Linked DNA regions of Coturnix japonica. The protein of the gene in region 3 purifies or fractionates together with the protein of the main gene of each other region. This does not show direct contact. Links are inferred from orthologs where the notes say so. Each region holds a gene or a part of one and is shown on either strand. Other genes may lie near its edges.

Region 1 (7,505 bases), on a different chromosome or scaffold from region 3:
AGGAAACGTAACCCAGCAGTTCAATGTTTTTATGGCAATTCAGTGCATACGAACCCATGGACACAGCGCTACTCAAGTTCCAAATGCAAAACACATCTGGCTTGTACATTCAGTTCCTATAAAAGCAATTAGCACTTTAATTACCTGCTCGATCCTCTGGCCAACCAGCACCTACTGGAGGAGCTATTTGAACTGCACCCAATGTTAGCACTGGGTGTGCTCCCATATGTATGGCTGCCCACTGAGGTTAGAAAGTACACTCAGTTCCATCCCACACTTGTCCCTGGCCCCTCATGGATTCGACAAAGATCATCTTTCTCTAATGTCTGCTTAGAAATACTGACAAAAGCATCGTCTGCAGAACATTCTTGTTTTGCATAACGCACGTGATGTGGATCCAAGGGTACTATGAAGCTATTCAGAATGATATTTTCTCCTGTAGGTTACCCTTAGCAAACATTAAATGTGGGAGGTGTGAAGGTTCTGAAGCAAACTGGCTGCTCCTGAGAGCTGGGCACGGACAGCCCCTGTTGTTCAGCAGGATTAAGCACGCATGGTTTCACCTCTGCTTGGACCGAAACCGAATGACTCCAGCTTACCCTGAACTGAGATGAAAGATGGCAAAGCGTGTTCTCTAAGCAGTTTTGGAACTGCTTCAGTCAAAGTCTTCGCCTGCTGGGAGGACAAGAACTCGAGCCTTGGAAAGCAACGTTGGTTCTTTCTGCATTACCCAAACATTCCCAGCGGAGCATTACTCCGTAGGACTGGCGATGAATAGAGACTCAGACTCAACAGTTGCAATTCAGTTGCTAGTAAACAGCAAATACCGTCTGCAAGGCTTACAGACCTCAGATCTTTGAACTGAAAGGAATCCAGAAGTAAAACGACATGAAAGTGTTTTTATCAGCCAAACAATCTGTGTCAGCAAAGGACGATTTGCCAAAGTAATGAGCTCACGGCATCACCAGATAGTGCATAATACCGAGGGGCTGAGCTTCATTAAAAGAATAATGGCAAGCATAGTTCTATGAAGGCTTTTCCTTGTACTTAAACACATCCACAGCAGCAGGTCAATAGCAAACATCGTCACACCTGTGTTAAGAAAGGGAATTTGGGGCAACACTGCTGAGCTCTCAGTTCTATAGATACCATAGATACCACTACATATAGATGTAGTCTGTTCTTCCCTAGCGAGCTACATGAAAGGGAAGCGTCCTAGATGAAAGCTTGAGGTGCTGAGGAAACAGCTGTCCATGGTTCTTCTAGCTCTGTGTCCATAACACACACAGGGCACTTGTAATAATGTTAAAACAAGGGACTCTTTGCACGCTTGTTTGAAAACTGCAAATTCATTCTGGCTTCCTGCATGCTAATTTATGCAGACAGGCACAACGCTGTCTGGATGGAATAGGGCCAAAAGACTTTGCGCTAAATATAATGTGAGGGGAAAAAAAGCATCTATCAGTGGCTCAAACCTAACGTAGGTCTGAAAAATGCTGTTCCTGCGGAGTGAGATGGAGGGCTGCATTTAGGCAATTCCATCCCATACCTTCTAAGGAAGGCTGTAAATCTGGTGCTGGAAGAGCAAGCGGGCTTACAAGAAGTCACACCTGTGCAGCTTGGATGGCGTTTACAGGTAGTGCTGACCATGTGAAATTCCAACCTACCACCAATAATCCCTTTCCACACAGCTCACGGAGCACAATCTCTTGCAGGAAGCGAGATCTGAAGAAAGGGCTTCCACAAACACCAAACGGAAGTTGGAGGGTTTAATTTCTTCCATCTACCATTATAAAAGTCTCATCGTCAAACGTTACAGTACATTTACAGCAGCAAAACCCCAACGGCCTCCCTCACATCCAATACAGAGTTGCATTTGAGTCGTACAGACATCAGTTGACACATCAACACAGTGGGAAGCCTGGTTCTCTGGCACGTCCTTTCCCACACGGTGCCTGCATAGCACAGTACAGAGCAATGCTGGAATCCCCAGTTCACATGGTCTGACCGACAGCCCTATAGCTCCAATGTTGTAAATAAGGAGGAAATCTGCCACTGGTTTGTATAACAATCAACAGTTTATTAATGGATATGGTGAAATTGTAGCTATCCACCAAAGATGTGTAAAAAATTGTCATGAAAGTAAAAATAAATAAAGCTGTTTTTAAAATCAGTCTCGTTTTACATCTCGGTTCAGAATGCGACATTTAACACAAAACTGTCATTAAAGTTTTAAAGAAGTCTACTGATATTCGAATTACAGCTTTTATGACGAGTCTAATGAGAACTGAAACTGATTTGGTTTAGGTTTAAAGACTTTCACATTCAAATACAGTGTCTCATTTAACACAATACTTCCTTTGACAGTGATGGGCAACAGTGATGACATATTGCTGTATTTTGACATAAGGCACTATGATATGAATATGCCATACACTTGCCTTATGTCACATATATCCATTGCTGACCAGTGACTTCTGTCAAATACAGAAATGAAAAAGGTTTCAGGATACAGTGCATTTTAATGAAGGACATCGTGTGAAGTCTTCCAGCAAAATGTTCTGAAGACGTTTTGAAACACAAGCCTACATTGTAACATAAGCTTTTTGTCATGCTGCTTTGTTTTATTTTTTGCGACATCACTGGGGGGGAATAGACTCATCATCCATCACTAAGTCCCAAAACACATCCTCACCCATCCTGCTCTGTTCTATTGCAGTCACTGTTCTCCAGACAAACTTGACCCAGAAACTTTGTTCAAGTTCTCCTACAAACGTTTATACATTCACAGCAGTCATTCACTTTCATTCTCCTTTTGTTTGGCACCTGTTAACAGAAGAGGAGAGCATGTGTGATTTCCTTATGCATACAGCACTTGCCTCATGGAACGGCAATTCTCATTCTGAATGCTGCAACTGTTGTCTGCCCACATTACCCGAACCTTAGGACTGGACAGGATCCATAAAGAGCACACTTCAGTACAGCTGAATGCTCACAGGCTGAGGGAGCCTGGAGGCCGTTACTGCCTCTCATTTCATTGGCAGGGTAATTCTCCAAGTCACTCTGCTGGGAAGTTACTCAAACTGCCTTTCTTTGAAGTACCTCTCCCCCAATACACCACGCTGAAAGCCTGTCCTTCTAGCTCCGGAAGCCAAGTTTAATCATCATAGTGCTCTTAAAAAGCAAAGTTTCCCATTAGATCAATGGGATAAAGCAGCTCATAGAAGGATCCCGTGAGAGGGAGCGCTGCCACATGCTAAACACCAGAAGCACATGACCCAGAGTGCAGGAGTGGGAACTCCCCTTGTAACTCCCCTGAATGTTCAGCTCTGTCTCCTTAACCTGGTACTTTGAAGGCAAAACTGTGATCTTAAGACATTTCCTGTCTTAATCACAAAGCCAGAGGACTGACCCGACCAAGTTTAGTGATAGGTCAGAGACTTCTACTGGAATAATTCACTCTGGGGTGATGTCTGACACAGCAAATAGTAACAAAAGACTGACAGTTAAGCACTTTGTTGGCTTTTACCTGCAGAGAAGTGAAACACTTATTTGGAGAGTATAATCAAACTATCATAAATTTAAGGTCAGCAGTGTATTATTGTTATCATACCCGCTAAGACCAGCAAGCTGTAAGCACTACTGAATGACTTATGGCAACATCCATACCTGCTGGTGTGAGTACCAAAGCCTGTAGAATGTCAGAAAGGGAGATGATACCCACAATGCTATCTGCTTCATTCACTACCACCAAACGATGAACCTGTGAGGAGGGAAAAACAGTTTTGAGAGAGTGGAATAAGAGCTAAAGGCACACGGAGGTCTGATGGCAATAAAATCATATTTGAAATGGCAGACAAGCCAAGATCTATGTCTTAAAAGCCTTGCAGAATGGGAGAGTGCCCCTCAGCACTGCAACCCAGCTCAAGCTGGGAGCTGTGCAACCAAAGGGCTGTAGCTGAGCCAACTCAAAGAGGTCATCCTTGGATGGATGCCTAACGAAAGTTGAGAGCTCGGTACTGATTTACTTCTTACCTAAATGAATTTGGACTTCAAGTCTAACTAATCAAACGTAACTGTGAAGGAAGTGAAAAAAACCTTCTCATCCTTTCACAGAAGCGACAGCAAGAAAAGCTGCAGTGTCTCGACTTAATACAGATGGGAATTTATTGCGGAGGTCAACCGCTTCACTGCCGGTCAGATAAAGCAAAAAAGAGGATCTCGAATGTTATTGGCAGAGTCACACTCAGCTGACACTGTGAGGAAACAAAAAGAGTGGGACAGTGGGAGAATATGCTTTGCATTTTCTTTCTGACAGGGCTATGTGTGTATGCACACACTCTTCCTTCTCACAGTGTAATGAATTCAAGGATAATGGACAATGTAGTTGTTTCACATCCAGTGAGATCAAGCATTTGTCTGGCAGCTAAAAATAGCACCAATTACTGCCTCCCCTGTGGCTCTGACTGACTCATTTTTGCATAGCCTTACTATGTTTAGACTGAGCCAAAGGGTAGGAGTTGTTCTGAAAACCCAAACGCCTAAAGCTTCTGAAGATATTAATAAGATCGGCCACGTTTGGAATCTGTGCATCAGCAGTGCTGAAATCTCTGAGTTTCAGGAAGAAGCTCGAGCTGATGCAGGAAGCTGCACGTCAGAATCACCCCATGGAAGTTCTGAGGGGGTTTTTCACAACATGGGAATTCTACTCATAGTAACCACATGTACAGTTATGGCCCCAAGGGTGAAAAAAAAACAGTGTAAAATTGAAGTCATTCACATCCATGTGCAAGAAGGTCCCAGTACAAAAATCATAGGATAAACCACAGAAAAAGAACAGGGAAAAAAAAGCATCGAGTCATTGACAAGTGATAGAACTAGAGGGAATGGATTTAAGCTGCGCCAGGGGAGATTCAGGCTGGACATTGGGAAGTATTGCTTCTCGGAAAAGGTAATCAGGCATTGGGATGCACTGCCCAGGGAGGTGGTGGAGTCACCGACCATGGGAGTGTTCAAGAAACGTTTGGATGTTGTGTTGAGGAATATGGTTTAGCTGGGAAGTATCGGGAATGGTTGGACTAGATGATCTTCTAGGTCTTTTCCAACCTTGATAATTCTGTGATTGACAGGACAATTACAATTTACAGGGAAGGGAAATAAAAAAGGGGGCAAACTCACCTCAGCCTTCACTATCCTATCAACAATGGTCTCCAGTGTTTCCAGCATACTACACTTTACAACACCTTCAAAATACTGAGAGCGGTGCTGTAGGGCCTGTGTCACCGTGATATCTAGGTTATTATAGGTTTTTTCAGCAGCAAGGTTCTGAAAAACAAGGCACACAGCTCACTACTTAAAGTACCCAACAAAGCAAATAGTTTGGCATCAAGTAGACACACATTTCAGACGTAAACCAAGTCTGTTCCAAGTCGCATATTAAACAAAGCAGATGCTCTTCAGTTGTAGTTTTTGGGAGCAGTCAAGCATGCAACTGCATTAGACACCATACTAAAGACTGGATTCATTGATAATAATGTTTTGTAATTATACATCAAGCCATGAAAGTCTTCCTACTTCATTCTCTAGTATTTGGCTTGATGTCACCCATCCTGCTTCTGCCACAAGGAAAAAGGGAAGATGATGTTCTATAGATTTCAGGAAATACAGAATATACTCGAAGAATAAACCATTTGTGTTGTTTTTCAAAGGCCAGGTGAGGACATTGACTGCTCTGAACACCACCCATTGAGTAGATCCTGCTATAGAGATTCAAGCAGAAAACAAAGGGTAGGTGTCTTCAACCTTTCCTATCTGCAGGCTCGAACTCCCTCTCCTGGTCTGTGCTGGAACTACCACTCAATGTACATTTTTACATCTGTTTTATTAAGTACAATCCAAATAACAAAATCAGCCCGTTAGCAAATTAATTTCTAATTGCTCACTACATTAAAAAAAAAAAACCACTTAATAGAATTTAAAAGGTGTACTTACTATTACATCAAATTTGGAATAAATATCTACAACTTTTCCTAGAAAGAAAAATAGGTATTAATAAATCGCTTCCAATAGAAAGTTAGTTTTCTTGTGCCCTGTTTTCATGTGTTATAATGACACAGAGAGAGGCTAAGAAGGAAAGCAGGAAAACAAACCAAACCAAAACCCACCACCCATGATGAATCCTTCCAGGTCCATCAGCATATATCTTACATAATCATTCTATATCTACATATATACATAGATTATACATACACACATACAATATTATACATACTATATATAAACACATAAAATAAATCCAGGCTTCAACAGCATTTATCTTACCACACTTGTGCACAGCAGAATCAACACACACCTGACTCATCCACAACAGGTAACGCTGATATCCTCCTCTCTACAAATATATTCAAGGCTTTAATGATAGGAGTGTCTGGATGTATGAAGGCAATGTTGTGGTAGGTTCCTATTCCAAGTTCATCCAGATTCTTCTTCATAAAGGCAGGCTTTGGCATCTCTGACATCTAGGAAAGGCAGATGGATATGTTTACACAACGCAGTTTCCTGCATGATACACTACTGTTACCAGGTTTTTTATATGTAATCAGGAAATAAATATCCATCCATCCATCTAGAGACCCCAAACAGTAGTTACAGATCATTACAATAATCTATTATTAGATTTACATAAAGCCAAAACACGCCTAGATCCAGAAACATTAATGCTGTTCCAACAAGTTTTAAGTTACGACTCCACATCTTGGCTATTTTGCTTGTCAGTTTATTTCTGTAGTGACCCATCACTAAAATCTTTCGATCCTAAGCTATGGCATTCCCAGTTAATCTGAAAAAAGAAGGCATCAAAGATGTGGGGTGCTGCATGCTCATTTTGACATCCCTCTGCTTTGCTTGGCCTCCTGTCCACTCCTGTGACCAACACACAGCACAGCAAGTTGAGTTAAGCTTGGTTCTAGGAGATGAGTCATTATTCTGCTTCTGTAATCAAACAAGCTCCCGAAGCTGAGATCATCCAGAATATGACACCAAAATACTCAAAAAGCCCTGACGTATCCCTGGTGTTTTTGTTTGGAGAGGTCTACCTGGGTTCGGGGTGGGCAGAAGACAAAAAAAAAACAGTTAAAGCAAAGCAGAACTTCAAGTACTTACAAAAAGCTGGAGGAACTTGAGGATTCTTTTATGGGTAAGTATATAAAGTGCATTTCCACTGACGGGATCTATAACTGGCAATCTGTGGATTTTGTTTTTGATCAATGAATATACAGCATCAAAAAGGCTGAGGAGAAAAGCATTTGTTTTTAATGAATGGTAGCCAGGGAAGAATAACATCAAGTACAGGTTTACAAACCCATAGCAAGGATGCAGTTAATAGCATCACCTTTAAATGTTACACAAGTTAAAGCATTTCAAATGATCTTTTCTACATGCATGAACTGATTGTTCTTATAGGGTATTCCATGCAAGTAGTTCCATTCAGACACATTCCTTATGAC
Region 2 (7,505 bases), on a different chromosome or scaffold from region 3:
GCAAAACATAAATTGGAGATGGATCAGTACTTTGAGTTTCTGATCACTTGTTTATTGAAGCATAATTTCAGGAATCTGATGTGAACAGAGATGATTTTAAAGTCTCCCTGCAAAAAGAGCTGGCTTCCTAACATACTTTCCAGACATATGTATGTTTCCTAGAGCAGAGGTATTTTTGTGGTTAGCAGTATATTAACAAAAGATAGAAGCCAGGGTAGGAACGCAGTTAGGTAAAGCTTCATAAATCAACTTTGGCTGCGCTTTGCCATGAAACACAGAAGTGTTTTGTGTTTTTTTTCATTTCAGAATAGAAGTTTAGTTGATCGCAATATGTTTTAATGTGTCCCAAGTTGCAGACCTTTAAAGGCATGGCCAAGCACTTCTTTGCTTCAGGTTCTTTAAGTGACTGATGCTTATCCAGAATTGTTTAAATACTTGCATAAACAAAATAATTGAAATATAATTCCGTTCGGTGTGCTCTGAGGAGTTATGAAACTGATTTTACTTGCATTAAAGTGGATACTTGCTATTGAAGCTAGTATTTGTATGTTTTGTTCAGGTTTAACTATCTGCAAGGTGGACGCTGATTTCTTCTTAATTGAAGATTTTTGTATTGTTGAAAATTACTTTCCTTTTTTACATTCAATTTTTGCTCTTTCCGTAGATCTGTTGTTTACCAACAGAGTTCTAAAGAATCTGCTACGCTGCAACCTTTCTTCACCCTGCAGCTGGATATCCAGTCTGACAAGATACGCACCGTCCAGGATGCATTGGAAAGTTTGGTGGCAAGAGAGTCTGTCCAGGGTTATACCACAAAAACCAAGCAAGAGGTGTGTTCTGTTGACTTGTTTTTACAGTCAAATATTAGAAGTTCTTTCAAGGGTTTTTACTCAGCTCTTGTTTTACAAATAGTTTCTTGAACTCGTACTCCTGGTGTTAATAAAAAAGGTGCTAACCTTCTTGGTGTGTTGCAGCAGTAGAACATAATACATTTGAATACATACAGTGAAAGGCATTCAAGGAAGAGAACCAGCTCTTAAACAAAACTGTGCTTGTAAATTAGAATGTTTTCTGAAGATTTTACTTGAACATATTAAATTAACAGGGTAAACTGTGATAATAATATGTACTATTATAAGTAAAATGGCTTTAGCTTGTCTTAACATACTCATTCCTGAGGATTGCCAGGACTCTTAAACATAAAATCTGGTTTATGTTTTAGAGGCTGCATAGAAATGCAAGCATTAGGTCTTTCTTTTCTTAAGAAGTTGTCAAAAGAGCTGTTCTTATGTTACAAATTATAGTGAAAACACTGAACACAATGAAAATTACTATGTACAACATCCTGAAAGCCAAAATCTGTTGTGAAGAAGCATTTCATCTTCATTTTCTTTATGGGGAACTCAGAAACTGTTGAAGCTAAAAAAAAAAAAAAAAAGTCTTATTTAATTACTCTTGTTTTTATTCTGACTTTTTTAGATCTGAATTGTATTATTATCAAGTTGTGGGCATAAGCCGTAGTTACAACAATAATCTTCCAAATGCATGAACGATTTCTTAGTTTATTTTTCTAATCATAAGATTTTTGTGTTAATGTAAGTAGGAAATAATCAGACTCTCATGCAGTGTTTGAAAATAAATAGGTGTTTTATGCAGGTGTTTGAAGAGGAATGACATTCTGTAGGCCATTCTCATTCTTTTTTGGTCTTGCAGATCTGTTTAAGTCTTGAATGTTTCAACACCAAATACATATAAAAGCTTAATTTTTAACTAGAAGTGGCCTTTTTCTTATTTGCAGACCTGTTCGCATTTTGTAGCAGTAGTGAAGACTTGAGTAAGAAGCTAGCCTTTCCTCATTTACTTTTCCTGCTTACCTTCCACAAACTCCTTAGGAGTCTTCACATTCTCTGTAGTTCTCAGACTGCTTCTTGAGGCTTACACAAATATTTTCTTGGGACTCTGCTCAGTGTTCGCTAAGCAAATGTTTGGAGCACTTCTTGCTGGTGATGTTGCTACCAGAAACCAGGTCCCCTGGTGGTCAGGGTAGCAGGTTGTGTGCTGGGTCCACAGCCTGGCACCAGAGCACAGCGCTGCTGTGATCTGCGATCTAAGCTGAGATTCTTGGTGAGGCACAGCTGAGTTGCAGATGCATGTTCCCAAACACTAGCTCAATGATTGAGAGAGGAGAACAGCAGCTGCTTGAACCACTGCATTGGTATTCTTCTGTGTCTTCCTATCTTGGTCTGGGCTTGGACCTGTGAAGCATTTGGGGTTGGTTTGTTGGTTCCTCACAAAATTGAATTCAGATTTTAGATTGAGAAGACTCAATTCCAGGAAAATATTCAAATAGTGATAATTGTCTGAATCAAGAGTAGTTTCATTTATATAAAGCCTTTCCAGATTTGCTCCATGAAAACAGCCGCTGTTCCATGCTAGAACACATGCAGTATGCAAACTCTCCTATGTTCATAGGAGAATTGTGTGCACCTCTTGTCGCATCTTCTCTTTCAGAGTCTGCCTTAGAGCTTCTTTTTTCTGCGTGTTATTCCTGGAAGATGGATGGGTGGGTGCCAGCAGGCACTTATTGAGTGGAAAAGAACAGGGCCCTGTTTGGCCTGCAGGTTTAAAAAAACAACAAAAAGCACACAAAACCCCTCTCTTGAGGCTCAGAGAAGCTGCCACTGTTGCCCAGTGGTTAGATGGTTTTTGGATGCAGAAAGGCATATTTTGAACCCTTAAGATGTAGGTGAAGTTTTACAGTTAGTAGAGACTATTTCTGTTTCACATGTTAAATTATTTCTTGTAAAAAGTATCAGCTCAAATCCTTGAGGAAATCGTGTACCCTACAAAACCTGCTTGCTTCAGTATCATGAGAGCAATAAATTTTAGTATTCAAGCTTAGAAGAGTTTTTCCTCAGGATTTTCTATTCCATGCTCAGTAGCAGAAGCAGATCCTCTGTTGGAATACAGTATGCTGATGATTTACCATAAAGAGGATACAGGTGATTTTTTTTTTTTTCCTAATCTGGAAACTTAGAGAAGCCTAAATCAGTTACTTGGAGAATTTTTGGTTTTAGTTCAGAATTTCTAGGAAGAGGAAGCATTTTTGTTCTGCAGTTTGGAGCCCAGTTTTACATTTCCAGACAGTAACTTTTTGGGCTACTTGGATGTAACTATATAGAAGTCAGTATTTAGTAAATAAATGTGGCTTTAACTCATAGTTTTTTCTCTGTATTTCCTTCAGGATCTTTACAGAACCTGGTATACCTTTTAACAAAAGAAACATCATTCATTACCGAAACCCTCCATAACTCCTGACCATCGTGACACTCGTTTTTAGATAGCTTATTTAACAGCTCACTTTGTTTTTCAAGGGAATTCTTGAACATCAAGTACCTCGTTGATTTTAAATTGTTTTTAAACTGTTACATTACTAGTATCTTACTGTCAGATATCATAAGCTGTGTTATAAACTGCCTTACGCTGTGCAGACTTTTTTCTTTGTGCGAGTGTCTCTAAAATCAAATACTTCTTCTTTTTAAGTAGCAATTCTGAGCAGTCAACAGAAATCATTTTTAATTCGTCTTTTTCTGTATTTTTAGGTGGAGATCAGTCGAAGAGTGACACTAGAAGAACTCCCCCCTGTCCTTGTTTTACACCTCAAGAGGTTTGTTTATGAGAAGACGGGCGGATGTCAGAAGCTTATCAAGAATATTGAGTATCCTGTTGATCTGGAAATTAGTAAAGGTAAAGATGTCTTCTTTAACAGAAGTTTCCCCGGTTTTGGGAAGGGGTAATGTTAACTCCTTAGCTTGTTGTACCTGTGTGTTTCAGTTCTCTTCTTTGCTTCCAGCTTTGTGCACAAGATTTCTTCTCCATGGAGGGTATTGCCACCTAGAAATGTAGTAGTTTTGCTGAATATCTTTTCTGAAGGGAAAAAAAGCACAAAAAGAGTATGTTTAGGAATCTGGAGATTGAGCCTTGACAAATCTGACATTGCCTGTATATCAGCTTGAAATAAGAATATTGTGTATTTCTTATATCAGGCAAAGAACTTTATGGTGAATGATCTTATAACCTTTGTCACATCCTAGACATTGAGTTGGCCACGTGAGAGCTTCCTGCAGACGTATGGAGTAATGTGGTAGGCTGATGAGGACAAATACTAGGAATGACCCCTGAATGAAGGACGTGTCCATACTTAGGGCTGTTGCCAAACAGTGCTGTGTGTTTTTGTGTCAATTTCAACCTAAAATTGATAGTTGTATACATTTTAGATGAGATTTCTCTGTTTATACTAACGTTGATTTCTGTTAGAAATCTCTGTTAAAACTGAATTTCTGAATTTACTGACTGTTGCCTTCATGACTCTTTTTCCTTCTCCAGAGCTACTGTCTCCTGGTGTGAAAAGTAAGATTTTTAAAGGCCAAAGAACCTACCGGCTCTTTGCAGGTACTTTATCTATATTCCTCATGTCCCTGTAGTGCAAATACCAATTCTACACGTAGAGTTCTAGAAACCTGGATTGCATAATATTTTCTTATTTATTACAAAATTATTTTAAAGTTAAAATAGTTTATGGGTGTCAGATTCTCTTATTTAGTGATATATTTTATTTTTTTTTTCATGCTCATATACCCCTGTAATGCTGCATCTGTATTTATATGCTGACTCTTCCAGCTTGAAACTCACACAAAAAGTTCTTCAGTAGATCCACATTAAAAAAGCAAATAGATGGGAAATTGATAGATAGGTAGATTGAGTCCAACCACAGCCCAACCATCCTGCCCTAACTGACAACCCTCTACTAGGTTGTGTCCCTGAGCACCAAATCCAAACAGTTTTTAAACACGTCCAGTAATGGTGACTCAACCACCTCCCTGGGGAGCCCATTCCAGTGCTTAACAACCCTTTCTCTAAAGAGGTTTTCCCTGATATCCTACCTAAACTTACCCTGGTGCAACTTGAGGCCATTTCTCCTTGTCCTGCCACCAGTGAGAAGAGACTTTATAGTTTTCTTTAATAGACTGTTGTGTAGATTGTTCAGATTTATTCTTTTTTCAGTGAATTGCTTAATGCTTTATGGCACTTTTCATTGTTAATTTACTTCAGTGTCCTTCAGAATCATTAGATTTGGTATGTCGGAGAGACATTACGTAGTACTGCCTGGTTGAATCATGGGTATGTTATGAAGAAAGCAGAATGTGACTTTTATTCTGTGCTTTTATGTGGCAGTGGGTATTCATAGAATCACAGAATGGCCTGGGTTGAAAAGGACCACAGTGACCATCCTGTTCTAACCCCCTGCTGTGTGCAGGGTCACCAGCCACTAGACCAGGCTGCCCAGAGCCACATCCAGCCTGGCCTTGAATGCCTGCAGGGATGGGGCATCCACAGCCTCCTTGGGCAACCTGTTCCAATGTATCACCACCCTGTGGGTGAAAAAATTCCTCCAAATATCCAACCTGAAACTCCCATCTCAGTTTAAAACCATTTAATGTGTAGCGTACACACGCATCACAAATTTCTCTTTTCACAGTTGTTTATCATCATGGCAACAGCGCAACTGGTGGCCATTACACTACGGACGTCTTCCAAATCGGGCTCAACGGCTGGTTACGCATCGATGACCAGGCAGTGAAGGTGATCAACCAGTACCAGGTGGTGAAGCCGTCTGCAGAACGCACAGCCTACCTCCTGTACTACCGCCGAGTTGACCTGCTGTGAAACTTCTCCTTCTTACGCTGTGTGTGCAAGATACCTGCTTTGTAGAACGCCAACTATCACTTAACTTTTTTTTTCCTTCTCCTGTAAATGCTCTTCTGAGTGAATCTCTTTTTTTTTTTTTTTTCTTTTCTTATCTTTCTTTTTCCCTTGCAACTATGGGATAGAGTGAGAAAGGAAACTACCCTGGGTTTGTGCACAACGTAGTTTGCGTTGACGTTGACTTAGCAGAATGGAGTCGCTGGGTTGAAAGACTCGAGTCTCGTGAATCACAAAAATTACAAAAAAAAAGAAAAAAATTAAAAAGAATAGTTTAAAAAAAAAAAAGATACTGAATTAATGCTGAATCCTAAGATAATAAACAAGGGATTTGCATTTGATTCCCACTTTCTAATTGCGTAGTAGAAAAAAAACCCTGCACCAGCAACAGAACTTGTAGATTTCTGTGAAAATGTTTTATCTTTACTTAATTAAAATAAAAAAATAAGAAAAAAAAATAAGAAAAAAAAAAAACGAAAAGCGCTCTCTGCTCTCCCCCCCCAATAGTTTTTGATAAGTGAGTAAAATATGAGCCAATGTGTATGAGATGGAGGTGGTCCTGCGTGCTTCGAAAACGGACAGACGTACCAAATGCAGAGTTGCTGGTTCCTAATAGGAAGACACGTTTTAATAATTGTGTGATGAGAAACTGCTTAAGTACACATTGCAGATCAACTATTTGGAGTTAAGATGTTAGTCTATATAGATGGGTGATCGTAACTTTATTGCTATTATGAAATTTCAAACTGCATTTATGCTTCTGTGTACATGAAATTTAAGAAAAAAAAAATGGGCAAAATAATTAAGGTTGATATTTCTTTAAGTCTGCTTTGTTTAATTTTGCTGTCTGCTCTCCTATAATGTTGAGTTCCTAATTGTACACAGTTTAGTGATATCTAGAAGTATAAAGTTGTCGCCCATCAATAAAAGTCACAAAGTTGGTTTAAGGTGGTGTGTGTTTGTGTGGGTTTTGTTTTTCTTCCAGAGTAACTTCTAGCCTTGAAAACTCCTAAACATTGCCTTGTTGCTCTTTTGACAGGGTGCAGGTGGTGGTGCTCAAATGAAGTGCAGATGCTTTTTGTCTTTAACAGCTCATTGGAACTTCAGAAGTGTTCCTATTTGGCACTGAGATGTAACCAACCCCAAAGGAGAGGCTGCAGCCCACGGGGAGTGAATCCTCCCTGTGTCCTACGTGAAAGGCTGGCAGGGATGCAGGGATGCCAGCCTTAATGGTTCTGCAGAAGGTGATGTTAGGTTTTTCAAGAGAAAGGAAGCAGCTCTGTAAGTGCCTTAGGTTGCAACACTTGTCTGTTGACGTGGGCTTCCCTCTTGTGTTTTCTGCCCAAACAAAGCAAGAATTAGTCACCTTACAAAAGACAGGAAGCTTATTCATGGCTGCTTCCTGCGAAAAGTAAAGTGATGGTGAGTCCAGATGCATTTACCATGCAGGGCTGTGCTGGTGCGTGCATAGCTCCTACAATAGGAACCAATGAGCTGCTGGGGCAGGGCAAGCCCAGCTGATGTGTACAAGACTTTTCTATGCTGTTCTCTTGTAGGAATGACTGCTGCTCAGTTGAACTGCAGAACTCCTATTTTTGTGCTGCCAGAAGATGGAGTGCATTAATCTGGTGTTCATTTGCATCTCCAGCAGGTTGTGAAATGGTCATTTCTGGTAACAACAGACTTGCTGTGCTCCTCTTACCATTGCAGTGACCACTTCAGAGACACAATGGCAGCACCTT
Region 3 (7,992 bases):
TGAATACACTTTTTCAAAGAAAACATTTTTGTATCCCAAAACACTGCATTACTGTTAAGGAAGAAGACAATTTCATTTCTCTGTATGAGTCAATCTGAGCTCACTTGATAATCCTCTCAGGCATGCTCTCCCTGCAGCTTTTCTACTCAGTCAGCAAACATTGCTCTTAGTATAACATGACAGCTTCCTTTCCCTCAAGAAGCGTGTTTCAGCAATTGGAATTATTGCTAAGAGTATCCAATCTTGAAATTGCAGTTATAGTAGTTTCACCTTCACATAGTAAGGAGGTGTATCACACCAGAGCTTCATTGTATAAATGGCAAAACATAGAAAAAATGCACAAAATAGAATCCAGTGTTAACTACAGCAAGCAATCTCTTACATTTCTAAGTTTCTTCCCACTTCTAGAAGAATTTTTGTTGTAGAGGAAGTTCGTAGCGTAAAATGTCCTCTAGACTGTTACATCTCTTAAATTCCTTAAGTTTGCAGGTGCTTTTGGAAAAGACCACAACAAAGTTCCCAGCAAAATGCCATAACAGATCACAGATATACTACATATTTCTTCAGTAGTTTCTGCCCCTCTGCACTTCCCCCCCCCACCCCCTCAAGTTTAAGGTTATATGAAATCTAGCTTTAAGACTGGAGTTTCCAATAATCCCCTTCATGAAGTAAGACTGACTTGCAAATCCATGGAGTATACACAGCACCAGACAACCACAACAGATCTTGTGCTTTAAATACTAAACAGCACTCTTCTCAGAAAAAATCATTTTTCCCAGACAAAAGTAATATTCACTTTGTTGTCTTATGTAACAGCAAATGCAAGTGTTTCTACATCCCTTAAAAGATGTGAATTTTAAAAGATCTGTTGTTGTATTTCACAACAGTAAAGTACCTTTGCAACATTATTCTGCATGTGCCTCACATGAGAATTGATCCATAATTCCACAAAGAAGCAGTCAGATATCTGCATGCCTTAAGAACAAACTAACCTTAAGATGGAGCAGTTTGAAGTATATTGCGACTGCTGACTATTCTTCAACACAAGAATGGAGCTGAAAGCAAGACCTCAGATGATAACATCATGTACAGCCCATAGAAAACCAAGAAGCCAGTGTTATCTTTCTGTAAGCTACTCTGTATTACCTCTTAGCATAAGTTTTATCTACAAAAGGGATGGCTTACAATCCAGAAATATATTTAAATTAATCAAGTTAATCATTTTAGTACTCTACCAGTCTTAGAAAGTAAAAGCACTGCATAGAAAGTTCCCTTTGTACAGCTAATATACCCCTCTTTATTCTTTGATAATACTCTAGGTTGATAATCATTTAGTCTAGAAAAAAAAAAAAAACTTCAAGATCACCAGATCCAACTATCAACCTGACCTATCAAGTCCATCACTAAACTATGTCCCTTAGTGGCACATCCACTTAAATACCTGCAAGGATGGGATCTCCACCGGAGCAACCCTTTCTGATGCTTGCCCACTCTCTCAAGGAAGGAATTCTTCGTGATATCCTATACAAACCTCTTCAGTGCAACCTGATACCATTTCCTCATGTTCTATCACTAATACAAATTGCATAGTCATATTGAAACTTGAAGGCACAGCAACAAGTTTTCAAAGACACAGTTGCAACAACCTCAGCAACAATTTCAATTGCTTAAGTGCAGAAACATTTGTCTAAATTCAAGCCTTATACTGGCAAAAACAACCCCAAACCACAGGAAATATGACGTCCTTATGAGATGTAGGTACCAGTTATGGGCACACTGAGGAGGCATCTCTTTGGATGCCCTCTGCAATGGGAAGGCAGTTGGAGGTACAAGCAACAGAAATACACAGCTGTGCAGTGCAGAGGGGGCTCTCACTAAACCCTGGGCTTTATTAAATCACATGAAGTTATACAGCCTCAGTCTAGCAGACCTGGCACTTGCAGGGTGGCCCTCACTTGGCCATACCACAAGCATTAGACTTACAAGATCTTTGACGCAGGAGACCACAGAAGGTGAAATTTAGTGGCAGGAGCAGACTCTTATGTTGCCCCATTTGATGGCTGGACTAGATTATTTTAGTGGTCTTTTCCAACTTTAATGATTCTATGACTACGTGTAAACAAATACACTGACAGAAACAAACAATCCAAGCCAAGGCTCAGTAGAGAGCAGCACTCTTTAAAATTAAGATAATATCGTTACTAACTTGGGAAAAATAAATTAATTAATTAATTAAAACAGCAAAAACAGCAGCTAATGCTGTGCATAGACAACAGAGAGCAAACTTACATTCACTATTCCCCTCCACATTTCATCAAGGCCTGTTTAAATCATTTTTGCAGATCACAGTTCTTAGCCTTGTTTTCAAGGCTTGGACAAACATTTTGTATCTACAATCACAAACAGTATACTCAGTTTCACTAAAAATTACCAGACGTCTGACTACTCCTCTTTTCATGAAATCTAACCATCTGAAACACTTGGAAATAAAATTCTGCTTTTGGATTCAGCAGAAGGTATGACCATTTTTTTTCAAAAGGCAACACTATAATAGTAATCATGGAATGGATTGGGTCAAAAGGGACCCTAAGGATCAAGTTCCAACCTCTCTTCCACAGGCAGGGCCACCAACCTCCTCCAGGTCTGGAACTAGATGCTCCACCCAACCTGGGTCTGAAGATGTTCACCTTCAAGAATGGAGCACCCACCACCAACCTGAGCAGCCTGTTCTCAGCACTCCCTCTGTAAAGAGCTTTGCCCAACATCCAAAGTCATTGAGGTCAGAATAAGTGTTATATGCCAAATGCTTGTACAATTGAAGTGAGAATGTACTTCACAAAACTCATTTACTTCCAGCAGTCTTTTTCACCTTTCATGTCAGTGATACTTTTGCTATGCCTGGACATGAAAGGCAAAAAAGAATGCTAGAACCAGTTGTCTTCTCTATGAATGCCTATCTGAGAGATAGACAGATGAACTAAGTCAGTAATTAAGTCAGGATTATAGAGCCAAATTAAGAGTTACATGGGCAAAACATCAGATCAGCAACAACAATCTGTGATATTAAAACACCAAGTGAAAAGGTGAATTAATTTGACAGCTTGCTGAACAGCGGGAAACCTTTGATAGTTACTCACAAATCTGCTTTTCCACTTGATTTCTGGGGTTGTCACTGCCATTAAACACCCTCTTCCAAGAAGACTGTCATGGTTTAACCTGATTTAACATGGCATCATAGCAGATACTATGAAGGAAATGAGCTCCGCATCAGCTGAAGTCATGGCAAAGCCACCCACATCACACAAACTCCAGGAAAATCCTAGCTGAATAAAAACGGGACAAGCTTTTTCTTATACCATAATCTCTCACCACCAACTGAGCTGAGAGCTGTAGAGAAACTTCAGTTACCACCAGCCTCAGCACTAAGAATTCCCACACAGCTGTGTCAGCAGCTGAGCTCGTTAGTCAAATAATTTCAGGATTTTTTTTTGGTTTAATGCTCTGCCCTTTGCGAAGCAAGAAAGCTCGCTGACCTTTTAAGGGCGGCAAATATTTGAGGGACAAAACGCAATCCCGCGGGCAGGTGTGCCTGAACGTCGGCCACCTCCGTTACAGATGCGATCACACTCGCACGCAGGAATTCTCCAGGAACGATGTCTGCCAACGCGGAAGAGAAATCCCCCGTCCGGAGAGCCGCCCCGCCCCGCCCCAGCCATGCCCGCTGCCGCCTCCATGGCCAGGCCGCCCCTCACAGCCAGAGCTACCAAACGCGGCCATACGAGCCGGGACCCGGAGCCCAGCCCTCAGCCCTGTGGCACCCCGCGACACAGCGCCCGGCTCTCCGCCTGACAGTGCCCAGCCTCCGGCCGGGGCCCCAGCAGCCCCCGTACGACCCCAGCGAGGGTCCCAGCGGGAAACCTGCCCCAGCCCCGACCCAAATGGAATAGACGGCGCAACAGCTCACCCTTGACTTTGCCGAAAGTGCCGACTCCCAACGTGTCACCCAGGATGTAGTGCCCAATCTTCACTCGACCGTGCTCGTGCTTCTGTTTATCTGCCGCCGCCATCTTGAGCCAAGAGCCGAGTCTGCGCATGGTGTTGGACGGGGCCTCCGGCGAGGAGGAGCTCCGGCACGCAGCCGGCCCCCGGAACTCAGACACTATTCCTCTATTGCCGCTTTCCGCCCCCGCCAACCATTTCTGCTACTCGGGCTCCGGCGGTGCGAGATAATCCTTCCGGGTTGAGTGCTGTGGGAGATGTCCTCTTCTTTCACCTGCTTGCTGCCCTGCCTGGATCCGCTTCCTACATACTGCAGACCAACAGCTGTTCTTGCCTGCAAATATTATTTTCAAGTTGCTTTCCAATCCTGCCTTCAAATAAACAGATGGAATTAGAAGAGTGTCAATTGCTTGGTCCACACCGTGGTCCACAGGAGGGATGCAAAGATGGTGAGGGTGTCATTTGTTCAGCCAATGGCAAAACATAGGCCAGTAAAATCGTAGGTACTACTTTAATATGCACCCTGCTAAAATTTGTGTATCATTCAAGTAACATTTTACATGGTAAAACAGTCAAAGCAAGGAAAATAAAACTAATGATTTTTGAGTAATTTAGAATTTGAATTTCAAGCATTTTCATGAGGATCGTGTTTGAGAAAATGAGATTCTTTCAGCCAGCACTACATGACATGTAAACTCTTTAACATGCGCAAACATATAAAAGATGTTATACGATGCAGGACAAAAAGGTATTAGTAGTCCTCAGTAATCCCCTGTTAATGTGTAAAGGTGCCAACTTCTGAACTCGGGGATGTTATCTAAACTCCCTTTGGATACTGTCTAAAGACAGAAATTCTACTTTTTATTACAGCTCATGTTCAGTGCTTCAATTACATTGTTATGGTCTTTTTGTTTGTTTGTTTGTTTTGTCCTTGTAACTGGAAAAGAAGAATAGAAAGTGAAGAAAATTGGTTGTTGCTCTTTTTCTAGTTTTGAGCTCTGCAGCAGAACCTCCTGTCTTCTGCAGCAGGGCCCATCAGCTCCTAACAAATCCTCAGGCACACATTGCATTGGGGGAGGAAAAGAACAAGCATCAGGCTTTGTTCCCATCTGTACCCATGTGATTTCCTTCTGTTCTGCATAATTGTAAATGGCATCCCCTATCCTTAAGGAAAAGCAGAAGTTCAGAGCTATTAGCAAGTACAAGCATGGTGCTAATGTACTTTTTTTTGTAATCCAGTGAAGCCTCAGCTTTCAAAGTACTGACACTACAAGGTATTTGATGTTTATATAAACTTTTTACGGTATGACATTTTATCCCATCTCCAACAGCAGAAGAGTAAGCACGAGGGGTAGACATTGTATTTTGAAAACACTCTCACAGAAGGTAGACTCTCATCTGAGAAACACCCAAGGAAGAAACCATGAGAGAATCACGACTAGTTGATAAAAGCTGAAGAAATGCAAATGTTTGGCTGCAAGAATTTAATGCTGCTCACTTGCACGTGAAACAGGTGACAGCTGCAAATACTGGAGCAAAAAACCTGAAATAGTCTACCAGTATTTCCTGGACATGAGAGAAGTGTATGGTAAGAATGGAGATATTTGACAAAATTGCTAAAAATAATTTCCCAAACTGTTCCTTAGTTGTTGACAGAATGGATTACATGTCAAATTCTCAAGAAAATTTAGAGCATTATAGGCCTTAGTTCCTAGCAATATTAAGAAGGCTGCACTCTTCTCTTTCTCCTATGTTATTACAAACAACAGCTCAAAACAAACAACAAAATATAAGTGGAGCCCACTAATGCAGTGTCTGATGCATGGACTCAGATGTGAATGATCCAAAGTGTTTATTACAAGTTCTCTCATCACTTCTAAACCTGCTGCAATGAGAGTCATGGTGCTGTCCATCAGCGGCACTGACTGGGCAGTGGCCAAATCCACTCCTGCACTGCCAGCAGTGGCTGGTCTGAGTGAGCTGGCCCGGCAGTGGCTTGCTGATTCAGGACTGTATTTGTTGTCACAGCATGCGGTCTTGCACGTTTCTTCCTGTTTCCCAGCAGATCACAGGGCTGTGCAGCAACAGGGAGTTTGGATGAGCATTCTCTTGCCCAGAGGAGCCCCCTCCTGCACTGGGGACAAAGTCGAGTTGGAACAGCATGAGCATTTTTATTTGCTTGCTTAGGTACTTTATGGTCCCTCTGTACATAACTGGGTCCCCACAATTGTATTATTTCATTCTTTGATCTGTCCCTGCATTGAGCTGGGCTGCCAGCATTTCTGCCAGCAAGGCCATTTTATGGCTTTCTGTGCCTGCATCTTGACAGGCTTTAATCACATAAGTAATGGATGGATCTGCATTCTTTAAGGATTGTAAAACCTTTTGACAGTCCATATATGCGCTTTCTACTGCTAATTATTTAAGCAAAGCATCCCAGGTAGCTTGATTTTCTACTCATCTCAGTAGCATATTTTGTAGACAGTCAAGAAATATAATGTAGGGCTCAGCTGCCTCCTGCTTAACTGATGTAAATGAGGCATTAGACAAATTAGTATCAGGTGTCCAACAGACAGCACACAACACCACAGTCTTAACTTGCTCAAGACATTGTCTATATGTCTGTGCCTGGGCCTGAGGTGTTACCCAGACCCCCTCCCCCACGATTTCCTCTATGCCAATATGATTTCAGTTATTCAAATTATTCATAGCCCAGATGGCAGCCTGCTCTTGGTACTCAGTCATAAACACAGTGAACTGCACAGGAGAGAGGATCATCTGTATCAAAATCTTCCAGTCATCAAAACATAACTGTCACCAATTGCAACCAAAAGATTTATGTAAAGGCATACAGAATTCCATAATCTCTGACTGACTCCCTTTGCTCCTTTACTACCTCACAAGGCAAGGGGGCTGATATGGACGATGGGACGCAGCTCGGCGTCCCCCAGAGACGTGGGCGGAGTGGGGAGGGGCCGCCATTTCTCCCCGGCGGGGCGGGGCCTCGGCTCCATTTGCTCCAAGCAGCAGAAAACTTTCTGCTAGGTCTTAAAATCATTGTTATTATCTTCAGGGTTTGCATTACCTTTTATAGACTGCAACACATAAGCAAAATCATTCTACTGTAAACCTAGAACTATGGATTTAAACTAATTCCTTATTAGCTGTTTGTTAACTATGGCTCACCATGCAGTCAATAGCTGTGTCAGATTGTCAGGTTTTATCATCTTTTTACCAGAGGAATCAACACAGGTGAAATACTGCTCTATGACAGTAAGCAGAATTCCTGCTTACAAGACATATGCTGAGAAGAGCTCTGACCCCCACATCAAGCTGACACAGACCCCTTTCTTTTTAAATTCTGGTGTTATGTTACTTTCAGAGCTAGACATTACTTGAACGCTGACTTTCAGAAACTTTTAATTTAGATAAACTGATATGCTTTTACCTGAAAACAGGATTCTTGCTTCAACTAATATGGAATAATTTCTCATGTAATTTAGACTGTACGGTCTAACAGTCTCTTGGATTAACTGCTTTATCTGTCAGTCAGAGGGAAGCAAAAATGGTATTACGGACCCTACATTAGCATTTCTATAAACACAGAGTATACTAGAGAGCACAGAAGAGGCTCAATTCCAGTAACTCTTGAGTTAGGATTATTTTACCACCTTGACAAGAGATTATTTGCATACTAAAGAAACCACCAAGGCATTTTCAGTTTTCAGTATGTGAAAGAAGCACTAAGAACTGAAGTGCCTAAGTAGATTCAGCAAAGCTTACTTCCACTGCCCATTATGAGCTACCCAAGTTTTTTTGAATATGTTTTCCATAACCAAAATGAACTTGTTTACACCCATCTTAACTTACCTATTTTTCCCTCACCTTTCCGGTCTGATCCTCCCAGACAGTTTGGGTAACTCTTGTCTCAACTACAGCATATTTTCTTTTTTTTTTCCTGGCAATAAATCCCTCCAGATTTTAGAGTAATTT
Region 4 (8,249 bases), on a different chromosome or scaffold from region 3:
ACTGCAGGCAGGCCAGCTCGGGATGCCGCTCCGCGTCGATCTCGTCGGGGCAGCGCCTCATGAACATGGGGATGGCCTCCATCTCCTGCGGGCACACCGTGTCAGCTCCCTCCACCAGCCCCATTAACGCCGTCCCGCCCCGCGGCCTCACCTGCTCCCAGGTATCGGGACGGAAGCCATTCAGGTACCGCGGCACCTCAGCATCGCTCTCCTCGCCGTCCGCCATCTTGGTACCGGTCGCTCCGTCCCTCCCCTTCCGGCCCCGTTCATGTCCACGCCCCGCGCCGCCATTTTGCCCGCTGTGGGGTGCGGGCCGGCATCGCGCTGTGTGAGGGGATGGGGATAGGACTGCAAATGGCTGCAAGTGGCCGTAAATGGCTGTAAACGGCTGTAAATGGCTGCCCTCCTCATGGAGGTGTTCACAACCGTAGGGGTGCTGAACCACACATCCCCACCCCACAGCACAGCTGTTAAGCAGCTCCTATAGAAAGAACCGGGCCGTTCAGGCGCACAGATGATAAACTTGGAGACGGGGATCTCAATGGAGTTGCACTTTACTCAGTAACTCAATGACACCTTCCTTAGTGAGGTACAGAACCGTACCAGAGCTCTGATCCCAAACCTCAAACACCGCGGGGTCCTCGCAGACCCTCCTCCCCGCTACGACCACGTAGGGGTAGCCCAGTTTGTTGGCATCCTTCAGCCTCTTGCCAATCGTCAGCTGTGTCCTGTCATCCAGCACCATGTCTCCCTCCATGTGAGGCAGGACTTCAGCCACATCATCATAGAGACGCTCCAGCAGCGCGGCTCCCTGCTCCTCCTTGCTGCCTTTCTTAGGGGGGATGAAGCACACCTGGTAAGGTGCAATGAGGCTCGGCCAGCGGATGCTGTCCTCCGTAGACAGCACCTCAATGGATGCTGCCAGGATGCGAGTGACGCCCAGACCGTAGCAGCCCATTTCTGCTGGCTGGAGCTTGTTCTCTGGGGTGTAAAAGACAGCATTGTGCACAGAGGAATACTTGGTGCCCAGATAAAACGTGTGCCCCACTTCGATCCCTCTGCTCTGAGTGAGTTTTTCCCCGCAGGTGGGACACGCCGTTTGCCCTTCATCCAACATCTCCACGTTAGCTGCAAAGTGCCCAGCAGGGCACAGCACCAACCTGTCCTCACCGATATCAGCCGGCAGCTGGAACTCATGGGACGCAGTGCCGCCAATGGTGCCGGTGGCTGCCCGCACTTGGACACAGCGTAGACCCAGGCGCTTAAAGAGGCCATTATAGGCTGCACACACCAGCTCATAGGTGTGACGTGCTGCCTCCTCTGAGCTGTCAAAGGTGTACATGTCCTTCATGTAGAACTCCCTGCTGCGCAACAAGCCGAAGCGAGGCTTGGGCTCATCCCGGAACTTTCTGGTCACCTGGTAGAGGCGCAGCGGGAGCTGCCTGTAGGACAGGTTGCTGTGTGCAGCCACCAGTTCGGTGACGGCCTCCTCATGTGTAGGACCCAGGCAATACTCCTTGCCGTGCCGGTCTGCCAAGCGGAACAGCTCGGTCCCCATCTGCTCCCAGCGCCCGCTGGTCCTCCACAGCTCCGCAGAGCTCAGGCTGGGCATGTTCACCTTCTGCCCCCCTATGTTTCTCATGGCTCCATCCATCAGGCGGATCAGCTTCTCCATGGCTCGCAGGGCGGGCGGCAGGAGGTGGAAGCAGCCGGGGCTGGCGGGGTGGATGAGGCCGCCCTGCAGCATCAGCCGGTGGCTGCGGCAGCCCGGCTCTGTTGTCTGCCCCTCGCACCCTGCAGCAACACCCACCTGCAGGTTCAGAGGCTGGAAGAGCTGTGAGAGCAGCAGCCGGCCGTGACATGAGGCTTCGTGCTGGGAGCTGCGGGCCGGCAGCTGCGGGGCTGCTGCTGCTCTGAGCACGGGGAGCCCGGTCCGCAGCATCACACCTACAGGGAGCGAGCAGCAAAGCGAGGCGTTACGTGCTGCTTCGTGCTGGGCAGCCCTGCAGCCTCAACACCCGCAGCCCCAGCACTGAGTCCCCCCAGGTCCCAGCTGGGCAGTGCCTGCATGTACCGCCCCGCTCCGCACACATATACACGCGGACCCCAAACCCAAGCTGCTCGCACCGCCCCAAGTCACGTTACACACCGCACCTCCTTCCTGATCCTGGAAGTAGAAAGTGCTGCTGCTCTATGGCTGCTCAGCAGCTCCCACTGCTGTGCGGAGGTCCCCCCGCTGTCCGTACAGCTCCGCAGCTCTGCAGCTCTGAGCCTGCGGGTTTCCAGCTCCAGGATGGTGCTTTCCTATCAGAGCAGCTGCACTGTTGTCCCGGTGATGGTTTCCCTTGTTTTATTCCCTGCTGCAGTCAGTTGAGCTGCAGGTCATACAGGACGCCCCATACCATGCAGGTCCATCTGCAGGGCAGGACAGTGGTCCTTCACTGTTTCCATCTCCTGCTGGAGCTGCTGAAGCAAAGTGTGTTTCTGTCAATGACTTACTGCCTGCCGAGCAGATCAAAGAGACTAAACATCTTGGATTGATTTGCAGGGCAGTGTTTTAAGCGGGAGGGTTTGAGGCTGTACAACAGACAAGGTCTGCTGGGAAAGCTGATATCTCTCATTAAACCAGCAGACAGTGCTGGATGAGGAGCTAAGCTTGGAGGCTGGGAGCCTGTCTGCACTCTTTATCTTTTCCAGCTGTGCCCAGAGGGATCAAACTGAGGTTTCAGCCCTGGCCCAGTCACGCTGGCTACATCCTGGCTGACCCTGGCCATGATCTTACATAGCTGGGAGGGTCCATCAGCCCATAGTACTGCCTTGTGCATCCGTCTGGCTGAGCTTCCTGAGTGCTTCCATTCCTTCCTGGGATGCTTCTGTAATTTACAACTCCAGGGTGATGTTTTTATGTCCAATAAAATGGTAATTGCGGGGCTTGTCACAGAACCTCCTGTGCTTCTTGGGATTGCTCCTCCAGTTGGAAGAGGTGGCACAGGCTGCCACCATCGCAGGGCAGCTGGGAAACAGCCTCCAGCTCAGTGTGTCTGCAGCTCTGAATGTGTGTCAGACAGCAGAACAGCCCCGAGGTGAAGCTTTAAAAACTGCTGCTTCTTTTAAGCTGCTCCAACTGCTTTCTGGGTCACAGCTCGTGATGCTGGGGCTGGTCATGCACTGATTTTGGCCATGTCCCTGGCTGGAGAGATAAATTTAATGTCTAACAAATCTCAGTGTATACAGTATAACCCTTCAGAGGTGCCATGTGGGGACACCATCCCTTGCACTCTTGCAATGCTGGGGCAGAACCGGGTCATACCTCACATGGGAATGTGGGTGCCAGGAGGGGGACACTGCATCCCTGGTGGGAGCCAAGCACTTGCTTGGCTTTGCCGGTACACATGGCCCAGAGAGCTTGAGGGATCCTGCAGTGGGGACTGTGGGGCTCGGGGCAGCCAGGCTGGAGCCCCCAGTATAGCTACAGCTACAGCAGCTCAGAATGAGTGGTAGGTGACAATGGTGAGGGCTGCCATGGTGAAGGCTGCCATGGTGAAGTCTGTCACAGCAGCCCTGGTGAGCAGAGCCAGCAGCGAGGGACATGGGCAGCCGGGTGAGGCCACCAAATGGGCACACAGTGGGGAGAGCAGGGATTCCTGGTTTAGCTCCTGAATTATCATGACTTCTTGGCACAGCAGTCAGAGGCATCCAGCGGGGAGCACTCTGTCTATGTGGGATGTGGGCTCATGCTCCCCACCCAACAGCAAAACCATTTATTAGTGCCTTAATTTGGGATGGATAACAAAGCCAGCATGTGAGGCAGTGGTGTATGTACAGTTGTGCTCTGGATCTGCCTTGCAGGGGGCAGCACCAGCCTCTGGCTGGGCCATAGCAGGGGCATGCTCCCGGGCAATTCAGCTGCCCCATTTCCAGTTCAAGGTGATGCTGAAGAAGCGCAAACAACAGGTAAGAGCCGGATTTGATCCACTCTCCTTGTCCGGGTGGCCAGGAAGCACTGGCAGTGTTGCCTTTGATACCCAGCCTATCCTTACCATCTTTTTCCTTCTGCAGCAAGAGAGGCTGGGCCCGGGAACGTACAACATCAGGGATTTCCTGCAGGAGACACAGCCCTCGAGCCTGAGGGGCATCTGCGACACAAGGGAGCAGAGGTTCAGAGAAAGACAGCGGGTATTTTGCAGCCTGACTTGGGAGCTGCTGGCATCCCTGTGAGCGTTTCCCATCACTAGAGCTGACTGGGGGCTGCCCACAACCATCCCATCTCTCCTGCAGGATTTCTTCCCTGGGCCTGGCACCTACGGCCCCCAGGGGAACCCCTACACTCCCCTGGATGAGAGGGACAGGCGCTCCGCCAGCACACGAGCGCTGATGGACAGCAGGACAGAGAAGTGTGTCTTCCTGACAGCCACGGCACGTCCTGCTCTTTGCCCTGGGATCGTGTTTGTTGGGGTGGCTGTGTTTCTCTGCTTGAAATCTCCCTGCCATCTTCCCTCTGTGCCTGCAGGGCAGTGGTTTGGCACCCGGCACCTACTCCCCATGGAGCAGCACCAAGGAGCAGCTGCAACCGGCGGGCAGACGCAGGACCCGCCAGGTCCCAGTGGAAAGGCGGAAGCCTGCAGTCATCTTGTGGCCCGATGAGGAGGTGTGTAACCTGGACGGGAGGTCCCAGTAAGTGTCACTGCCACCACAAATGTGTAAGATGGAAGCTGCTTTATGCTGCACTTCATCTTGAGTTTTGCTTTTTGGCTTTCTTGGATCTGAGCAGCATGGTGAGATAAATCCTCACAGCAGGAGAGAGTGTCTGTGAGCAGTGAAAGGCTCAGCTCTCACAGCGAGGGGTCTTTGGGGTGTCTGGAGTGACCTCCAGCAGCTGAGCCTCATGCAGCTCCTGTGGCCCAGCAGGAGGAAGACACCAAGAAGCACATTGTCACTGTCAAGGGGTTCCCGGATGAGCTGATGTCAAGGGAAAACAAGAAGAAAGGCTGCTTCAGCACAATGCCACGGAACCCGGGCTGCCCCACAGAGAGGATCTTCTGGGCCACGCTCAGCCAGTGCCCGAGGGACGCGGTCAGTGGCAGTGGGGTGTTGTTCCATTTCCACCCTCCCCAAGCTGCTGGTTTCACCTGGTGGTGTTGGGTACCAGGCAGTGCTGTGGGGCTGCTATTCCTGAGAGCAGATGGAAGGGTAAGAAGTTTCCTTCTGCACAGTTTGAGGTGGGACCAGGCTCATACGATCCAAAGCCTGCTGAGAGATCAGCAAACTTCAACCAGCCCCCGTTCTGGTCGTCTGCAAAGAGGTTTGACAAAAAGGCCGAACGCCTCTTCATGGGGAATGAGGTGAGTGAGCGCAGGGCAGCCTGAGAGGGGCACAGGAGCCATCAGGCTTTAAGCTTGTCTCTGTCACTGTCTCTATCTATTGCTGGCACCCAGTGAGATTACAAACCTCATCCTGCAGCTGTGGGCACCCAGTGCAGAGCAGGCGCTGAGATGGGCAGCGTGAGCTGGGCTGATGCTGAGCAGAGGGACAGGAGCTCAGCAGCAGCCACATCACCTCTGCCCTTCCCAATGCATGCTCAGATAACATAGCATGTCTCCTCCTCCTTCCCCTGCAATGCAGACCTCCTTTGGTTAAGATATTCCACACATTGTTGTTTTCTGCAACATAAAGCTGCTACCCAATGTTGCTCCACTGTATCAGCCTCTGCAGCGACAGGGAAACAACATGTGACCTTCCCTTTCCAGAATCGTGTGGGTGTGGGCCGCTATAATCTCAGCAGATATGACAAATACCCTCGGAAGATCAGATACCAGTCCCTGTACAAGAGTGAAACACAGCGGTACCTGAGCAACTTGAAGCAGGATGCCTACATGCTGTAAGTGGCATATAACAGGGGCTGGAAGCACTTTCACATCAGCTTGCAGGAAAACTTGCTTTGTCTTGATCAACTCTGGTGAGGCTGAGTGAAGATACTAGTAGTTTACAACTGACTTGAGAGGCTGAATAGCAGAAGGGATGGTTGTGGGGTTGGAAGTGCTGGAATGGGACTTGGTGGCCCCAGAACAGGGTCCTTCTATGAATGGTAAGTTAATATGTCTGTGAAGAAGCGAGCAGCCCTTAGTGCTTCCCTCTGTGTAAGGGCAGTGGGAGGGTTAAAATGCTGCTGGCTGCCCAGGCACTTTAAAGGTATGGAGGTGGTTGTTCTACCTTGTGGAATGCAGTCTGTATGAAGAAGAGGTACAGACAAATGGTGTCTGAGTTAGAGGAGGCAGCCTGGGGGAGAACCCAACAGTGGATGAGGCTCTCTCAGCTCATTCCCTGTGCTGGCACTGATTTGATCAATGGCCTCAAACACAAACCGCGTTCTCAGACCGCGCCTTGGTTTACCCATTTGGAGAAAGAAGATAACAAGGCTCAGTTCCATTGCAAAGGGCTTTGAAATCACTAGGGGGAAAACCTTGTGAAGTAGTTGGGAACTGTACTAATGAGAGACCTCAGGGCAGTCCTTTGCTTTCACCTTTGCTCATGGCCAAGATTAGCAAACTGCTGTGGTGGTACTATGGGCTGACAGCTCTGCAAAAGCAGTCTTGATCTCCAGAGAGTTGTTAGAAATCCATTTCAGTTCAATACAACATGGCAGCCTTCAGCTGGGGCAGCTCCGAGTTAGCTATCCCATGATGAAGGAGAAGGCATAATGAAATCTAGCTTTCAATATTGCTGGCTTTGTTAATTTTGTAGCTCCAGTAGGAATAGAAAAAAAAAGCCTGAACAGAGAGCAGGATGTTCAAATGCACCGAGTTGCTCTATGATCAAATAGCACCAGCTCCAAAATCACTTTTCAAGCTACAGCTTTACTTTCAAGGGAATAGCCAGGCTTTTAAGAGCTCTGTTCACCTCCGTGCTCGTTAAGATTAATGAGATTAATCCAGCCAATAATTAGAGCTCACTGAATCACATCCTCTTTTCACAGCGAGCGGCTAAAGCCTGCTGCGAAAAACAAATGGAGTCATTTGATTTCTGCTCCACGTTGTCCAGATACCTGTGAAGAAAGCACTGCTGTTTTCCAAATGTAAGATGGTGCTGGAGAGCCTGAATTGGCAAATAAACCATGGACATGCCAGTGGATGAGATGGTGTAATGCGAATACTCGCAGTGTGCTGGCATGCAAGAGATAGGAAACAAGTCTTGCTCTGTGGTAATAAAACACCCTTCAGACATTCGTCAGTCTAACCTGTCTGTTGACTAATTCATTGTTTTCACCTTTATGAAAATGACACAGTGGAGAAGAGGATGTCCGACACCATACACTGACCACAGGAAGGTTTGTGGCATGCAGCACTCATTCAGCATTAAGCATTTCCTTCCCCGTCAGCTTGCACTACTTAAGGGCCGTGCAGCTCTCTGTGTGTTCTGTGCATGGTGGCAGTTATCATGGCAAGCAGTGAGTGCACCAAGGTCCACCACAGCAACTTGAAAGGAGAGCTGGTCATGAGAAAGCAGCACCGTGGCAGCTGGGAGAGGTTTGGGAACTGTCTGCATACCTGTCTGACTTGCTATCATTGTGAGGATCTTCATTACGATCTACAACTCATAGCTTCACTTGAATTAGCAATTCAAATCCCAGCAGCTGGAGGGCATTAGGGGGAATTTAGTGTCATCATTCCAAATTTTGTAGCATATTAAGGCCTAGAGGCAATGAAGAAAGTGAAATGAGCAGAAAGCTCTATCAGCTGGAACAAAGGATGGCCATAAAACTATACCACGAGTGCGTTGGTTCACTCCACGTTAACCTTTACAAAGGCTCACGCCAGTGTTTAGACAGACTGGAATAATTAAATTTGGGTGTAATTACGTGTTAGCTGTGGCTGATTAGGTATGCTAATTAATCTGCAATTACCCTTTGGTGGGAGAAAGAATTGAACACAGGTAAAACTGCGGTAATTTAAAGAAATAGTGATAATTGTAATAGAAGGGCAAGCAAAGGAAAAGAAGTTCTCTGAAGGGAACATTGGAAGATGTAAAGGCTGTGACCAAGCTGCAGGAGGGCTGGAAAACCTCCCTCCAAGCTTACAGAGCTCCTGCAGTAGTTTTGCTCTCATGGGCCACAAAGTCACAGGGAAACGCTGAAGGGAAAAATCAGAACAACTGGCATCATGAGGTTCTTTCTGAGGCATAATGGAAGGGTTAAGGCTCAGCTATAAGGCATATCACGGGGCAGAGATAAGAGCAGACTCATGGCCTTCAAT

The links.
Region 1: the proteins of PRKAA1 (region 3) and PRKAG2 purify together in Homo sapiens (affinity purification with mass spectrometry; 8 studies listed by BioGRID and IntAct, counting the BioPlex papers as one, with this or other methods). This does not show direct contact. The link is inferred for Coturnix japonica from reciprocal best matches to the Homo sapiens genes PRKAA1 and PRKAG2.
Region 2: the proteins of PRKAA1 (region 3) and USP10 purify together in Homo sapiens (affinity purification with western blotting; 3 studies listed by BioGRID). This does not show direct contact. The link is inferred for Coturnix japonica from reciprocal best matches to the Homo sapiens genes PRKAA1 and USP10.
Region 4: the proteins of PRKAA1 (region 3) and PARS2 purify together in Homo sapiens (affinity purification with mass spectrometry; 3 studies listed by BioGRID and IntAct, with this or other methods). This does not show direct contact. The link is inferred for Coturnix japonica from reciprocal best matches to the Homo sapiens genes PRKAA1 and PARS2.

What each region holds. Positions count from the first base shown.
Region 1 is NC_029517.1:5,603,553-5,611,057, forward strand, and holds the end of PRKAG2 (5'-AMP-activated protein kinase subunit gamma-2), read right to left. Parts: intron 7,289-7,505; coding exon 7,162-7,288; intron 6,519-7,161; coding exon 6,353-6,518; intron 6,030-6,352; coding exon 5,992-6,029; intron 5,326-5,991; coding exon 5,179-5,325; intron 3,764-5,178; coding exon 3,670-3,763; intron 2,827-3,669; coding exon 2,795-2,826; 3' UTR 2,057-2,794; downstream 1-2,056. UniProt on the Homo sapiens protein: AMP/ATP-binding subunit of AMP-activated protein kinase (AMPK), an energy sensor protein kinase that plays a key role in regulating cellular energy metabolism.
Region 2 is NC_029526.1:14,995,829-15,003,333, forward strand, and holds the end of USP10 (ubiquitin carboxyl-terminal hydrolase 10), read left to right. Parts: intron 1-664; coding exon 665-830; intron 831-3,602; coding exon 3,603-3,747; intron 3,748-4,386; coding exon 4,387-4,452; intron 4,453-5,539; coding exon 5,540-5,727; 3' UTR 5,728-5,999; downstream 6,000-7,505. UniProt on the Homo sapiens protein: Hydrolase that can remove conjugated ubiquitin from target proteins such as p53/TP53, RPS2/us5, RPS3/us3, RPS10/eS10, BECN1, SNX3 and CFTR.
Region 3 is NC_029547.1:11,812,113-11,820,104, forward strand, and holds the start of PRKAA1 (5'-AMP-activated protein kinase catalytic subunit alpha-1), read right to left. Parts: upstream 4,274-7,992; 5' UTR 4,095-4,273; coding exon 3,965-4,094; intron 1-3,964. UniProt on the Homo sapiens protein: Catalytic subunit of AMP-activated protein kinase (AMPK), an energy sensor protein kinase that plays a key role in regulating cellular energy metabolism.
Region 4 is NC_029523.1:22,554,782-22,563,030, forward strand, and holds PARS2 (probable proline--tRNA ligase, mitochondrial), read right to left. Parts: upstream 4,060-8,249; 5' UTR 3,955-4,059; coding exon of another isoform or gene 3,850-3,954; 5' UTR 3,602-3,849; coding exon of another isoform or gene 3,590-3,601; 5' UTR 2,155-3,589; exon of another isoform or gene 2,141-2,154; intron 1,948-2,140; 5' UTR 1,943-1,947; coding exon 539-1,942; 3' UTR 537-538; downstream 1-536. Other genes in the region: TTC4 (tetratricopeptide repeat protein 4), read right to left, coding at 1-85, 152-226; LEXM (lymphocyte expansion molecule), read left to right, coding at 3,590-3,601, 3,850-3,954, 4,060-4,176, 4,279-4,416, 4,511-4,648, 4,906-5,073, 5,214-5,342, 5,748-5,878 and 1 more. UniProt on the Homo sapiens protein: Mitochondrial aminoacyl-tRNA synthetase that catalyzes the specific attachment of the proline amino acid (aa) to the homologous transfer RNA (tRNA), further participating in protein synthesis.